2 linked regions of the Bombyx mori genome follow. The protein of the gene in region 2 purifies or fractionates together with the protein of the main gene of each other region. This does not show direct contact. Links are inferred from orthologs where the notes say so. Each region holds a gene or a part of one and is shown on either strand. Other genes may lie near its edges.

The links. The genes of interacting proteins can lie anywhere in the genome.
Region 1: the proteins of PLCg (region 2) and ras GTPase-activating protein 1 purify together in Homo sapiens (affinity purification with western blotting; 3 studies listed by BioGRID and IntAct, with this or other methods). This does not show direct contact. The link is inferred for Bombyx mori from reciprocal best matches to the Homo sapiens genes PLCG1 and RASA1.

Annotation. Positions count from the first base shown.
Region 1 is NC_085127.1:9,728,207-9,736,213, reverse strand, and holds part of ras GTPase-activating protein 1, read right to left. Parts: intron 7,526-8,007; coding exon 7,401-7,525; intron 7,199-7,400; coding exon 6,856-7,198; intron 6,776-6,855; coding exon 6,482-6,775; intron 6,012-6,481; coding exon 5,841-6,011; intron 5,233-5,840; coding exon 5,057-5,232; intron 4,326-5,056; coding exon 4,253-4,325; intron 3,803-4,252; coding exon 3,684-3,802; intron 3,515-3,683; coding exon 3,384-3,514; intron 2,863-3,383; coding exon 2,693-2,862; intron 1,940-2,692; coding exon 1,811-1,939; intron 1,060-1,810; coding exon 930-1,059; intron 307-929; coding exon 152-306; intron 1-151. UniProt on the Homo sapiens protein: Inhibitory regulator of the Ras-cyclic AMP pathway. Stimulates the GTPase of normal but not oncogenic Ras p21; this stimulation may be further increased in the presence of NCK1.
Region 2 is NC_085107.1:5,699,489-5,707,966, forward strand, and holds the start of PLCg (phospholipase C gamma), read right to left. Parts: upstream 4,586-8,478; 5' UTR 4,455-4,585; exon of another isoform or gene 4,336-4,454; 5' UTR 4,302-4,335; coding exon 3,944-4,301; intron 3,831-3,943; coding exon 3,692-3,830; intron 3,157-3,691; coding exon 2,994-3,156; intron 2,271-2,993; coding exon 2,070-2,270; intron 1,470-2,069; coding exon 1,354-1,469; intron 1,268-1,353; coding exon 337-1,267; intron 1-336. UniProt on the Homo sapiens protein: Mediates the production of the second messenger molecules diacylglycerol (DAG) and inositol 1,4,5-trisphosphate (IP3). Plays an important role in the regulation of intracellular signaling cascades.

The DNA of each region.
Region 1 (8,007 bases), on a different chromosome or scaffold from region 2:
ATAAATTTTTACGAGACGTGCAGATGGTAAAGTATGAAAAAAATATTCTATACATATAAACTAATAGATGCAGTCTCGTTTAAACCAATGCTGAATGCCTACAGGAACCTAGTCATGAGTGAGCTCTGAAATAGCTGGTAGCAATTATAACCTTGGCTCCGAACTCGACGAGGTTGGCGAGGTTCTGCAGACACTTGGCGACCATGAGCAGCGAGCGCTGCGCGTGCGGGGGCGGCGCCCGCTGCACCAGCGTCCACGCTCGCGGCTCCACCAGCGCCGGACAGATCAGCCGCAGGAATATGAACCCTGCGGAAGGTACATTATCTCATTACACTGCACTAAACCAGATATAAATATGATTTATTATTTAGGACTAGCTGACCCGGCAGACTTTGCAGTGCCTCAATCGATAAATAAAAGACCTAAACTTTTGTCTAAAATAAACTTAAAACAAACAAAAGGAATCCGTCCGACGACGGGGGACACATCAAAGGAAAAACAAAATTGTTATTTTTATTTAATTCCGAGCATTTTCACATTTATCTACCTTTTAAACCTTCTCTTGACTTCCACAAACAATTCAAGACCAAAATTAGCCAAATCGGTCCAGCCGTTCTCGAGTTTTAGCGAGACTAACGAACAGCAATTCATTTATATATATATAGATTTCATAGAGGTTATATCTCACGGTGGGTGGCGGCTTTTACGTCATAGATGTTTATGGGCTCCAGTAATCACTTAACACCAGGTGGGCTGTGAGCTCGTCCACCCATATGAGCAATAAAAAAATAAAAAAAAGCATTTCAATGTTGATGGTATTTGTTTTTAAAATTCAACAACAGATACCTTAATCTAACTTAATTTGTTAAAACAGTACAACGCATCGTGTTCATACAATTTCGTTACATATTCGAATTTTGATTTCATACCTGAGACGACCCTGGTGCGTACAAAGCGTTCGTTGGGCCACTTGGCGACCGCGGCTCGCTGCAGACACCCGCACAGATATCTCACCGGCTTAGGGCATGCTTCCGGTGAAGTAAATATTGATAGGGTAATCTGAAATGTCATAATCTTTTTTTTAATTCAATGTGATAAAGGACAACAATATTCAATTTATACCAACTTTATTTTCAACGTGGGTGGACGAGCTCACAGCCCACCTGGTGTTAAGTGGTTACTGGAGCCCATAAACATCCACAATGTAAACCGCCACCCAATATAAGTTCTAAGGTCTCAAGTATAGTTACAGCGGCTGCCCCACCCTTAAAACTGAAACGCATTACTGCTTCACGGCAGAAATAGGTAGGGTGGTGATACCCATGCGCGCGGTTCACTCTGTATTTAATATAATTAACATCATTTTCGCCTTTACTTTTATTATTTTTATATTTGGGATATTTTCTTATTCTTAACTTTCACTCGTTTCACTCTTGATAGAGCGGTCGTGATCGTTCTGTAGCTTTGAAGAGATAAATCTGACATATTTTACGACGCCCGCTGCCTCTCCTTGATCGAGGCCATTCTACTGGACTCTTTTAACAAGCCCCCCAATGTCAGTCCAAGGCACACCGTGCTTTTCACCCTTCCTTGCAGGACAAAGCGTTCCACGAACTGGTTATCGTGAGGAATCCGAAAATATAGGATGCACGATTGTTTAAAAAAAAGTGCTGCTAGTCTTCAGTCTACCCGTGGTCATGGCACTTGCAATACCACCAAAATATCGTAATGTCACGATGTGTGAAGATAGTGGTAAGAACCCATCAATTAATAGTGTGTGTATGTAATATTCGTTCTTAATTATTTTTACCTGATCGAGAATCATAAGTAAAAATTCAGCATTGTTACACGCGTCGTCAGGTGAATCCATCTTAGTGGGATTCAATTCTGCTGTCTGTTTAGAATCAATCAGCTTTTGAATGGTTTCCGAAATCGCCGCCTGAATAAAAAAAATACATATTTTTAATTTCAATCACAACAGGGACATGCAGTGACATGAATTCTCTTAATTTTTTTACTGTTGATTTAACACAACTATTTGTTAAATTATTATTGTGATTAGGTACCACAATCATTTATTTTTATAGATTTTCTATTAACTTTATTTGCATGACTGTGTGCTTTTATTTGATTATGTTATAAAACATATGTATATCTGATATGTATTATATGTTATTACTATGGCAATGGCTAGTCATTACATAAATATTATTTAGGTGAATAAATTATTTGAAATTGAAACATATGGAACTGCACACATAAATGTAATGGAATCTATACTTTAACACTAATCATACCAACACTTACTGATACCTTTTTCTACCATAGCGGGTAGATAATGGTACCTATACGACAAGTATTACTCAAAAAAATTAAAACAAAACAAAGAAATAACAGTAGATTAAATCGGTAAGAAAAAGCCATGAAGTCAAACGTGCAAAAGCAATAACATGATACGTGCTTTTCAAATGTAAAAGTTCAAAATGGGTCATTTGATCCGATATGTTATGTTTAGTGTTAATTTTGATGCACAATTAATTTAAAAAAAAATCAATTCTCCCCATTGCTTAAACAAGGCAGCGGCTTGGGTGCCGGTAATCACTCACCATCAGGTGGGCCGTATGCTCGTCTGCCTACAATGGGCAATAAAAAAAAAATATTTTCTAAATAGTTGGTAGTACAAAGAGGTGACCTGTAGGAAGGGCTTGCAGTGGGCGCGCATGAACTCGTCGAGCACGGCGGTGGCGAGCGAGGCGCCGCGGAACAGCGTCTTGTGGTCGCCCTCGCGCGCCACCTCCGCGCACGTGAGCTCGCGGGCCAGCTCCGCGCCGCGCCCGCACTCCGCGAACGTGTTCAGCACCGCTGTAACGTACACACGCACGCCCGTTACACAATTATTTGCACAGATAAATCAGCTACTATCTGATGACATTTGCAAGTAATTCATTGACTAATTAGAATAGCTAACTTTTCTTAGCTCATCTGTATACTATATTGTAATATAATAGTCCTAGCAAACTTTTTATTTCACCATCATTGGGCATAATCGCCGTCATTCCATCAATCATACATCTTCTATTGTGTTGATAATAAATGAAAATATACACAATGGACATAAATTGCTGGAAAGTTTTTGTATTTTAAAGTGCTCATTAGCCGACTTAACCTAATAGATTTATGGCTATAATAAAAGGCGAAAAAAAAAAAAGCGCTCATTCGTGTATTTACCAGTACGATTTGAAATTTAATTTTCTTTTCTGCCTTTAAATACGTTACATTATACAATTATACTGTAACAAAGTTGAGCGGATAATACAACAAAGAAAATCTATATTAAAACAAATGTATAAAACGGAGAAACAATATGGATTAATAAAACTAACATGTTGCCAAAGGTTGTCGATCGGTCCTGCAAAGATCTGCTAACGCCTTCACAGCCGGAATGCCCGGTTCCAGCAACAATTGACGAAGCGGGTTGTACTCTTCACGAGGCATTACTAATTCTTGCATATACCTGCAATTTTGCCAAAATGAAAATTAGGAGCATACACACACACACACCAAAAAATTTAATTTATATCAAAATTAAAGTATTTATTTCTAGCATATGCCAGTTCCAAGTAGCCAAATAAATTTATTTGATTATTTGAAACTGGGGCATTATTACTATTAGTACATCCTACCTTATCCGCAGTCTCAAGGATCCCCACTCCCCAATAGGAGTCATTCCTACTAAGGGATACCATTCTTCTATTTCTTCACCGTTTGCCAAATTTGCGAGTTCTATAGTCAGTTCAGCCACCTATATTCGGATAGAAAATACCATTAGAGTTGGATAGAGATAGACCAGGATGTGGATGGAGTAATAGTAGGAGCCTAGTACCAATATTTCTAATGAAATAATTAATTCCTTATTCACTGGTGTTTCACGAATGATTTCCACGATGAAACATATAGCATTGTGTAATAAAAATCAAACTTGCAAAAAGTAGATTATTAGTAATTACAATTGAGACATGGACCTGAAGTCCCAAGGTGGTAGGCGGCATTCACGGTGGGATATCTATGGGTTTCGGTAATCACTTAACACGAGGTGGGCCGCAAGCTCGTTCACCCTATGATTACGCATAAAAACTGTAATTACTATCTATCGAGAAACGAATTGAAAAAATAAAAATAATTTAAGGGAAACTCTCAATGAACCTCTAGAACAGCGGAAACAGATTATTATAATAATAATTTTAATACTTACTTCAGATTCTTTTCCTCTTTTCCCTGTATTATGTACGGTAATTGTAAATGAAGTTACATCTGGAGGCATATCACTGTAAAAGTGTTGTAACATTTAGCATCACAATAATTATTTGAAATTAAAAGTAGTACCAGTTTATTAACTCATAATGTTAAAAAAAAATCAGATATTATCAAACTGGAAATAACTTTTTGCAGAAGAGTCCAAGAACGAAAACATTTTCAGCGAGGTTTAAGAGTACTTCACAGTCAGAAGGCAGCCAGCACGCACTCTGACAGCTCCTGTGTCCATAACTTCTGTCTTGTGCAGCGATAAATCTATACTAATATTATAAAGCTGAAGAGTTTCGTTTGTTTGAACGCGCTAATCTCCGGAACTACTGGTCCGATTTGAAAAATTCTTTCAGTGTCAGATAGCTCATTTACTGAGGAAGGCTATAGGTTATATAACATCACGCTAAGACCTAAGACCAATGCAAGCGGAGCAACAATAGATAATGTTTCAAAATCGGGGTATTTTTCCCTTTTGAGAGCTTCCGCTGCGTGCGCTGCGGAAACGGTTAAAGTTTCGCTAAAATAATGTATGACAGAATTGTTCCCCTTTAAAAGATAAAAAAAAAATCCGCGACAGCATATGAAGTACGGCATATGTAGTATGTGAGAGTACGGCTATATGTTAAGGTTGGCTCACTATAACGCTTTTTATGCTAACCAAATTTGTTTACAAATAAAAAAGCATTAATTGTGAACTATTCCACGCGGACGAAGTCGCGGGCAAAAGTTAGTAAATAATAATAGTACTAACTCGAAGAAGAACTCGTCGTCCCAGTGCGGATCGGGCGAGGGGCGCGGGCGGGTGCGGGCGACGGGCGCGGCGCCCAGCAGCACGCGCAGGTGCGGGCGCGGCGCCAGGCGGGCGGGCAGCCGGTGCGCCGTCAGGCAACGCACGCGCAGCCAACGCACCCACGACACGCGCCCCACCTGATGCAAACTTGTACCTCATATCGCCACTTCAAAACCAGACTAGCTCTTTTCACGGAATTTTCAACAGATGGCTAATTAATAATCTATACATATAAATAAAATTGGAGTGTCTGTGTGTAATATTGAAATAGCCTCTTTTTACTACATGCATATGAATATATTTATTTTATTATTTATTATTTATTTATAAATAAATAAATATATATACGGTAGATACACCAAAATAACAATTTTTGTCTGTCTGGCTGTTTGTTCCGGCTAATCTCTGGAATGGCGGGACCGATTTTGACGAGACTTTCAGTAATAGGTAGCTGATGATATAAGGAGTAACTTAGGCTACTTTTTTTATACTAGTTTTGCCCCGGTAACATCGCGGTACTCAACTATCAATAATAAAATTTAATGTTTCCGAAGCGAAGCTAGGGCGGGTCGCTAGTTTATAATAAGAATTATATAATTTCATCTAATTGTGTTATTACTGTTGCAATATATTAGGCACGAAAACACAAAGGGCCGTCGGCGGGTTCTATTTATCTTTCTTTTCTACGTAAAGACAAAACAACTCACTTTAGTATTTACAATATTTTGATTATTATTGATATTACCTTGCACTGGTGTCGTGCTTGCTGCGGCACACATAAAGGTCTTAGAGCCTCAATCCAGGCCCTCTCCTCAGTAGCAGTATTGGCAGCCAAGAATGTATGTGTAGAGAGACATGGTAGGGCACGTTCGACGAGTTGGAAACAAAACTCCTTTTCCCAAAGTGATTCGTGAACCTGTAATCAAATTTTATATTAATTTTCTGTAAATAATATGTATGTTTTTAATTTTTATGAGACAATCATTACACTAATAAAATTTATTGTATCTTTAGCGTTATAGTTTTAGTTGATACAAGAAATGTCCCATAATTTCACTGGCCTTAAATAGAAAGTACAAATGAATTAAAATAAGTGCAACTTTTTTTTTTTATATAATTGCCTATATCTCCAGTTCCTAGCATAGTAAAAACAAACTTTGAAGTTTATATGAAACGTGAAAGGGCCAAGGATAAAAAATCGGCTCAATATTTTTTGGATGATGCAAACATTACAAACATACAAGTAATAATAACAAAGGTAATTTGACGTCAACAACACAAAAACATTTTAACCTAATCTTAATGTACGAACACGATTTTGTAACATTATTTAAGTAGACGAAAACTATAATAAATAAAATGTTTGTCTCAAATTTAATTACCAACCTGGTAAAGATATGCGCATGATAGATCGATGAGTCCTTTTGGTTTGGTCCTTTTCGGCGAATCGTAAAAATACAAATGTGTGTCGGTTCCTTCCTGTAATAGCACACAGTATAAAGGCTTCCATTTTTTAGCACCCTTGTCAGATTTCTTGTTCAGATACCCATAGTGCTTGATTCCTTTCGTCTTTTTCAGACCGATCTGATCTCGACATTCGCGTAATGTTGCATATATCTTTTCAGCTGCAGCCCCTGTTGTACTTTGCTGCGGCTCGATAGTGTGACCTTCCGCAATAAGCTAAAGGAATTTCATTATCAAAATTAACATAAAATTCCAGAATTGCCACGTGACAAATTGCTCATAGAATGTACACTCACCGGCTGACCTAAAGTGTGTCCTTCAACAATTTGTTCTTTCCTATATCTATTGATCACAGCATCCAAGCACTCAAAGGTTCGACCTCCCATCAAGTACCTGACGCCCTTCTTCTCAATCCTGAACCTTTGAATCTGGTTGTTAATGTGAAAGAACAAAGAATAGTCTCCTGGAGAATTATCAGATGGTCTGACGAGGAAACTTCCAGGGCCCGCCTTGACTAGCATGTCAACTGCTTCACTCTTGGTACAGTTTGGATGGAACCACGAAAATACCGTGTTTGGATCGATAGAAGGATCCAGATCTTCAACCAACTCTCTAAATATCATTCCCTGTTCACCGGTCCTAAATAAAATGATGTTAATTATAATTCAATTTGGCAATCATATTCATATTATTACTAGATATTTTGTTTACTTATTAAAAATACCATACTTCACAGTACCATAAAAATCTGATGTGGAAAACTCACAACAATAAAAGCCTGTACAAAATTTACTAGTACTTTTAAGAAAATTTCAAGAGATATGTAAGATTTTTTTCTTACCTATGAGCTGTGACCCAGAGCCATCCATCACCCATGTCATTATGTACAAAAAAGATGTCGCCCTTTTGAAAAGTCAATTCATCAGTGTCGGGCATTTTTGTATAAGGTAAAATTGCAACAACCCTCTGAAAAACCATTACAAAATTATTGTTAAATGTACTAGAAAACGAACAAAACAAGCGGCAACCGTACGGGTAAATAATTTGTATCTAAAATAAATGAGGAAAATGACTGGTTCACATGTTTCTGGGACACATAAATAATTTTGTCTAAATTATGAACATTTTAATAAATTATTACCATCATTTAATTTTACTATTTATAAATGGAACAATAATTTACTCAGTCAGATTTGGTTATGTACTGAATGTTATTTCTTCTACAATTTTTATTTGTGACTAGCGACCCACCCTCACTTCGCTACGGAAACATTAAATTTTATTATTGATAGCTGAGTCCCGCGACCTTACCCGCGGTTATTGTTGTATCGCGGGTGACGCCGCAGGGCGAAACTAGTCTAAAAAATATCGTCGTCAGCCACCTATCAGTGAAAGTCTTGTCAAAATCGGTCCACGCGTTCCAGAGATTAGCCGGAACAAATAGACAG
Region 2 (8,478 bases):
CTGAAACAAAATTAAATTAAACCAAAATTAAATGTGTTCTTATAATAATTTTTTTTTTTAATAATCAATAACAAGTGTGATATTATTTACATATTTTCTTTCATTGATTACAATAATTCTGTGGTTTTCCTTGTGAAATTTTCCCGTGTTATATTACGTTAAATCAATTTCGCATTAATATTAATGTATATGCAGGAAAATAACAAAAGGTCAACTGATGCAAGTCCCCATTAACATTCAAAGAAAATGCATGCATGCAACCCTGCTACCTTGCAGAAAACTCATGCATATTTCATGCGATCATGTTAATAAATGCTAAACTATTTATTGTCTTACTTGACTCCTCAGAGGATGTGACCTATAATGGGTGATGAGGTTGTACAGGCTGTCGAAACACATACTATCTATCAGATAGAACTTGGTGACCCCCCGTTCCTGTTTGAGCTTGATGCGGCAGTGATTTACTTTCCCTTGCCGCCAGAATGATAGACAGTAGTCACCGACAAAAGTAACGCTCTCCCTCACCAGAAAGGTTCCATCGCCAAGATGGGCGTGGGCTCTCAGCAAATCTTCGGCTTCTTGTCGATTCCCTGCCAGCTTCCCGTGGAACCAACATTCTGCGAAATGTAATTCATCTTGTGGTACAATAGCGTTTTCCGCATCTGAGTCTCCGTCACTTTCAGTGTCGGTTTCTTCTTGACTGTTGTAGCTCTCTGTATAGTAAAGTTTGTTCTCGGTGAGCACGAAGGCGTGAGGCTTCCATTCTTTGTCGACAGGATCTTCCAAATGCAATATACCATTTTTGATCGAATTTCGTAGGTCTAAATCTTTTCCTTCTTCTTGACGTACTGCGAAAGAACTTTCTTCAGCACCTTCAGGTAATTTTTTATGTTTCAGGATTATTTTTCTGCGTAAGTCATGAGGAGAGGGAAGTGATGTTTCATTCTTATCCATTGGATGAACAAGAAGAAGGTCACCGAATACGTCTTGAAATGCGCTCGCCATTCGTCTTTGCTGTGGGAGTGAGCAGTTGTCTTCGATAGACAAAATTAATGGATATTCAGATGTGATGAATGCATGTTCTTTTATTGTTCGCAGTACATCCATAAACCTTATTTTCGTTGTCAGTGTGTGCCCGTGATAAATAAAAGGTGTGCCGTCAGGACCATCCCAACAATCTAGCTCAATACAACGACAGCCTGACCTCAAGCACCGCACGTAGGCCTCCAGTGATGATTCACTTGAAAACTGGTCACCTGTCAGATACCTACAATAACACAATATGTAGAACCACTTAATGCATGATATGCAATCCACGAAAAGTTTCATCAATATAATAACATTTATGCTTACGTGTTATGAGAAGAAGATATCCAATAGTGTGACAAAGGCCTGGTCATATCTTGTGTAACCTTATCATACTGACTGTCATAGATGGAATTCTGCTTGGAGTACAGCATCTCGACAAACTGCAATTAGGTAATTTAAAGAAAAATTTAAAAAAAGTTTGAATATCTCTATTAGTGGAATGAGAAATATTGTAATTGATTATTTAGAAATAATTTATACATTATATTTGGTATAAGAATACAGCTTTAGATAACGAGAATAGAACAGCTTGCAAAGCAGGCGCTCATAATTTAAATGTGTTATCATCATGAAAACGCTGAGCGTACATACCACCTGGTTGCTCCTGGACATCAGTAGTATCCATGGCAAAAAAAAAGTGGGGAAGCCCATTGAGTGTACTGGGCATGCTGCAGTTTCTTAAAGCCATAGCATGCCCAGTACAACAACCTCTTTCCTACTATAAGTATCATACTATAAGTAGTAGGAAAGAGGTTTGCATTTATGGTGGGCAGCAACAGGGAGAACTGAGGCCTTCCATAAAGACTCAGAGGCTCGAAATTATAGGTAAGACCAGAATCACCTACAATCTTAATAACCGTCTTATGTATAAAGTAAAATGGCAGTAGCAGGTCACAGAAAACAAAATGGAAGCAAAACTTTGTAGAAAAAGTATTTTCACCATGCAAGAAGTACTACTTCACACTGCTGAGTTAATTTACCTCGCTTAAAGTGAAATAAGGTTCATAGATGTCTCTTTGTGGATCTCTTAAGTAATCACGGATGAACTGTGAGGCTTGTACTTCATCATCACCAAGGTTATCATGCTGTTCATCTCTAAGGAAATTTTGAAACTCTCTAAGAGTAATAGTAGTACCATTAGAACAATAGACTGAGTATTTATCAAATATGTCCTGAACATTCTGAAAAAAATATATTTTACATACATCACTGTCTATAAGTTTATATTAAAATATTATAATGTGGACAAGGAGTTAAATGCATAAAAAATTACTTTCTTATTAATTCAGTGAATGTGGCATTGCCTGATTTCTAAGCCAATATGGTTCTTAATGCATTCATAATATATTGTTTGTTTATGAGAGTATAATAAAAGGTCACAGATTTTTTCACGACTTCTGATGAAGCCATCATTAAGATAATTTATGTGAGACATGGATTAATTTGAGTTACTATCACTACATCCATATTATAATCTTCCTAAACAGCTCTTACCCTCTAATAGAATAGTTGACAGTTTTTTGAGGAAGCAACATAATATCTAATACTATATAATATTGCCCACCAGAAAAATGTATTAAATAATTTACAGTTTTAAAAAATGTACAGTTTTAAAAAATTTGCAACCAAAAACATCAAGACATCATGTCTTCTACCCTAGAACAATCAAAGGTTTCAAACTATTGATGGACTGATCCATATTTCAGATTAAGAAACTAATGGCTTCTCGTTATACCTATAAGCTTTGATGATTACATACCTTGTGAGCCAAGAGCTCATCTACTCATTTATCTTAATAAATAACAAGTTTGATGTTTGAATAAGTTTAATTAGTAACATTTAAAGAAATACTAGATTTGTTGTTTATGATAACCTACTTTTTAGTAAATTAGATGAATACTTACATTCTCATCAAAAATTAGCTTCTGATAAAGAACAGCAAAATCATCAAAGCCAATCTCCCCTCTTTTTTCAGTGTCAACATCTTGGAATACATCTCGAAGCTTACTTGTTGAAATTTTACAATTAATTTTTGGTAGAAAAGCTTTGACCTCTTTTAATGTTATTCTAAAATGATTTTTGTATATTACATTTACAATATATATGCATTTTCAAGCTAATTAAATTGAAATAAGAAAATTAATATAACAATAGGTTTTTCATATTTACTCACACTAAATAATGAAAATATGTAACAGACAATTGAAAGACTAATAAAGCAATATAACTTGAGTTTAACTTAATATTACATTGCAAGCTTTGCATTGTTTTCTATTACAATTTATTTTACTTTATGATCATTTGGTAATAGTTTGTTACTTTTACATACCTATTACTAAAAATGTGTTGACAAAGCCTGCCTTACAATAAATTACATTACAATATGTTCCATTTATGTAAAAAAGCTAATTAAGTTTACTTTCATCAATTACTACTTACTGAGATCTATATATACTCTAGTTTACTGGAAAATAATAACAATTGCTGCTAATGTACCAAAATAGGCAAGAAAGAAACATAATTAATCATTGAAATCACATATGGAATGGTAAAATAACAATTACTGGCAATTTTTACATTCACATTTTTAAAAATAACTCACTTTTCATGGGAGTTTTCAATAGAATAGAATTCTTTCCGGAGCCATCTTTCAATCTGTAGAGGATATGATGCACTGACAGCTTCTGCTATTAGATACAGTACACCTTTCACCCAAGCTTCACACTCTTTATCTGTTTGAGCTGAAAGATTGTAAATAGTGACTCAGATCCATTTATAGAGGAAACATAAAATTAACAGAACTCAGTCCGCGCACTCACACATTTAGAAATGTTTATAAACTACTTCAACATACCAACAAATGATGCACAGCGAAGTTTAAATTCAGTTCCATAATAAATGGTAAAGCATTTTGAACTTTCAAGACGTTTGGTTTCTTCAGGCCAACGCTCAAAGTCTTTGGATGATTTTCCAGTGCGAACTTCTTTGACATCACGGATATCGAGAGCCCCTTCGTAGCCCTGTCTCTGAGGGGCATTGATTCGAGACCAAAGAACTTGATGGGTCTCTCTTCTCACGCAAAGTGCACGCCTTTCGGGTCTCTTACGAGGGAAGAATTTTAAAACGGTAGAGCCTCTTTCTATGTAGGAGATAAGCTGGTCTGCCTCGTGTATGAGCCTATCTTTGGCCCCGTTGAAGCAGACCGACTTCATTGCACTTCCGCCCTCACCGCCGGATGCAAGCAAACTGTGGCGAAAGTGAACAACGCATGAAATAAAAGAGCGACTGCTAATATTTCTCTACATATAAATAAGGCACCCGAGTTTAAAATACATTATTACTGGCTATTTCTACATTACACACACTTTGATATTTAGTTTGTTTGACATTTCCAAACCAAATGAGATGCATAGATTATACACTTAATATATAAATGATGAGATGGTTGAGACGGGGATGATTACGTTCCGTTTTAGCTGGTTTTAGCATTCAATTCTTTGACTGACATTTCTTACGTCAAGAGGCTCAATTATAAACTTTTTCAATTTATTGAAATCTAAATTTTATGACAGTATGAACCTATAGTTTTGTATTGTTTTTTTTTACATGTTGATAAGTTTGAGACGTTCTATTAAATAATGATAGCCCAATTAAAAAAAAAGTACTATGTTAAATAAATAAAGATCATTTTTTTATGATTGAATGCTTTTACTGGTGGCCCGGATGCCTTTCCAGTTTTACTTGGACAGGTGAGCGAGCAAAGGCTCAACCAGGAAATTAAGATCATGGGATCCCGCCAACTTACTAAAAAATATAAACGATATTGGCGGTAAAATTGAAATAGATAGACCTTACATTTTAAACCTTTACCCTTGATATTTTAGTAGTACATTAGTAGTTATTCACAATATAGATATATGCTCATTCGCAAATAACCCATCACCGTATGTATGTTTGTTATAAGCATGTATTTATTGATAAAGATTTCTATACCGCAGATTTTCATAGTTTTAGTATACTTTTTTTTAATCTCTCTTCAAATCAATCAGCTAATGTGTAGTGTTAATGAATATATCGCTTAATGTTTTTCTTAAATAGGCAGACGAATCATGATCCACTTGATGTTATGCGATCGAAGACCAAAACAAAACAATTCTTTTTTGGATATCGATTCTAATAATATTGTGTTAATTAAGTACAGAAGTGTAACGTAGAAAGGTCATTGATGAATTTCAAAACATAGTAGTAATTGTAATCAAATAGATTTAATACTTAGAGTATGTATGTAATTTGTAATAAATTGAAAGGCAAACGTGTGTTTTGAAATGGAAAACCTATATGCATACATATACGTTTTTATTTTGTGATGATACCTATGTGTAGATTTTTTTTTGTTTACACGACCTATTGTTATATTGTATATTTGGGCCGTTGTATACCGTTGTTGATTCTTTTCGAATCTCGTTTAAAGCAGGTCAATCAATAGTGTTAACCACAGTGTAAGCTTAAATGAGCAGAGTTAATTCCAGACACGCACATGAAATAAATGTTTTTTTTCAAGGCATTAGCGCAAATACAAATATCAAAATTTTGAGTATAAGCTTACATAAATAGGAAAAGACAAAACCTTAAGTAACATAAGTAAATTTTTATTCTTTTATTGTCAACCTATTTCATTTTCAATTTTTTTCCGTTTATTTCCGTTTTCTGTATAATGTCTGCCTTCACGACTAATCTTTAGAACCGGTACGTAAGTATCTTAAGAAAGCCTTAGCACGCTTCTTCGACTTACTCGTCGTTTATTACCAAGAGTTACTAATTAAAATGAACTAATCTATAGACACAATCCACTGAGTTTCTCGGCCGATCTTCTCAGGAGGTCGTGATTACGATCCGGTGGTAGATCCGAAGAAGAAGAAGAAGAAGGGTCGTCGTACCCCCTTACGGGGGCACGGAACGGGCCTCGGGGCAAACCCCACTGCCCGGGCAGAAACTCCCTGCCACTTAGGGCAGGGGTGGACTGATGAAGGGAGGAATGAGAGGGAGGGTTCGTATGCGTATGCGCGTGGAGGTAGATCCGACGGCGAAACACTGCTCTTTATAGGGCTAGTGTTTGCAAATTCTCTCAGGTTGAGTCCGTGAGGTCACCTACCCGTCCGCGCGTAGCTGTAATAGCCTCGCTACCAGCAAATAGGTAAGATAAAAAACGCTAATAGTCATAAGTATAGTGTGTTAAAAATAAATAGGTAATTGGACATTTTTTGTAAACCGAGGAATAAATGATTCAGTTTGAATAGAAATAATATTACAGTAACAGAACGACGTCAATGCGAGAATTGTAATATTGCACCTAAGATGTTTTACTTATAAATAGTTGCCATATAGGTATAATATTCTCTTGTCTGTCTCAGTTTCAAGGTCCCAAAGGATATATTTTTTCATTGTCTTATCTGTACCTATTCAATGTTAAAGTTTAAATTGTTCTATTTTTTTTTTATAATTTAGGTTTTAAAACTTTATTTCAATCTAAGTATTCTTGGTAAAACTACCTCTTAGATTAATATTACTATTTATTTTTTATTTTAGTTTATTTCGGACTTCATTTTTTATTTAATTAGTCTGTGAAATATCTGGTATTTAATTTTTAAATCCTGTTATGAAGACAAATATGCATAAATAATGTCAATAAACAGTTGTTGAGTAGATGATATAAGTAAGTATGTATATCGCACTTTACAAACACGATTTATTCCTTATAACAAATGTGAAAGGACTTTTAAAAAAACAAGACAACAAAATTGTCACTCCACTTTTTCACTCCATGAAATTAGAGACACATAATATAGGTATTCCCTGCTTGCAATTATTATAAGGCAACAACCATCAAATCAATGGTTTTCTATAAGCAGGATAACTTTGAAAATCTATATTAATAAAAATGAATTGCTGTTCGTTAGTCTCGCTAAAACTCGAGAACGGCTGGACCGATTTGGCTAATTTTGGTCTTGAATTATTTGAGGTTGAATTGAATTGAATTGAATTGACTTGAATTATTTGAAGTCGTCGTGGCCTAAAGGATAAGACGTCCGGTGCATTCGTATCTAGCGATGCACCGGTGTTCGAATCCCGCAGGCGGGCACCAATTTTTCTAATGAAATACGTACTTCACAAATGTTCACGATTGACTTCCACGGTGAAGGAATAATATCGTGTAATAAAAATCAAACCCGCAAAATTATGATTTGCGTAATTACTGGTGGTAGGACCTCTTGTGAGTCCGCACGGGTAGGTACCACCGCCCCGCCTATTTCTGCCGTGAAGCAGAAATGCGTTTCGGTTTGAAGGGTGGGGCAGCCGTTGTAACTATACTGAGACCTTGGAACTTGTATCTCAAGGTGTGTGGCGCATTTACGTTGTAGATGTCTATGGGCTCCAGTAACCACTTAACACCAGGTGGGCTGTGAGCTCGTCAACACATGTAAGCAATAAAAAAAAGGAAGTCCAGAGAAGGTTTGAAAGGTAGATAAATATGAAAATGCTCGGAATTAAATAATAATAACAATTTTGTTTTTCCTTTGATGTGTCCCCCGTTGGACGGATTCCTTTTGTTTGTTTTAAGTTTATTTTACACAAAAGTTTAGGCCTTTTATTTATCGATTGAGGCACAACGAAGTCTGCCGGGTCAGCTAGTTATTTGATAGTTTACAGTTACTAGTTATATGGCAAAAGGTAAAAATTACAACATACTTGGATCACTGACGCACGCCACAATATTTTACATTACGTTAACTTTCACCTGTGGAAAATAATACAACTATGCATCTACGGTACTTAGGTATATCCATATTTATGAAATACCTAAATCAATACGAAGAGCAAAATGGTGAAAAACTGGGCGGTTCCACTGGTTTTAATGTAATAGGTTTCTGCCACCCCTAGGCGAGGTTTATGCGTCATCACACTAATATCTTACCTCCCACTTGGCAGCCTTAGTACCGATTTCGTCGAGCGTTTCCTCCTCTGTTCCCTACATTTCAATAAATTTTATAATTCACAAACAACCGTAACACAACGCTATTTTTTTCTTAATCTGTCGGACACTGCCAATATCAGTGTCTCAGCTACGTTCAATAACATGAGACGGAAATGTGATAAGATCTATGAGTCGTTCTTGCAAAGCGTATCGTATCGTATGTCGTATCACTCTTGTCAGAGCGGTCGTGGTCGTCATCCAGCCTCATTGTTGTGGGCAGATGTTATGCGCCTCACGAGCAATCGCCACTCCTCCCGGTTTGTGTCCTTTTTTTGCAAAGCAGTACTGGAATACTGTATTCCCCGCAGCTAAAATTCTTTCACTTTTGTTACGTAGTGAGAGTATTGTATTTTTCA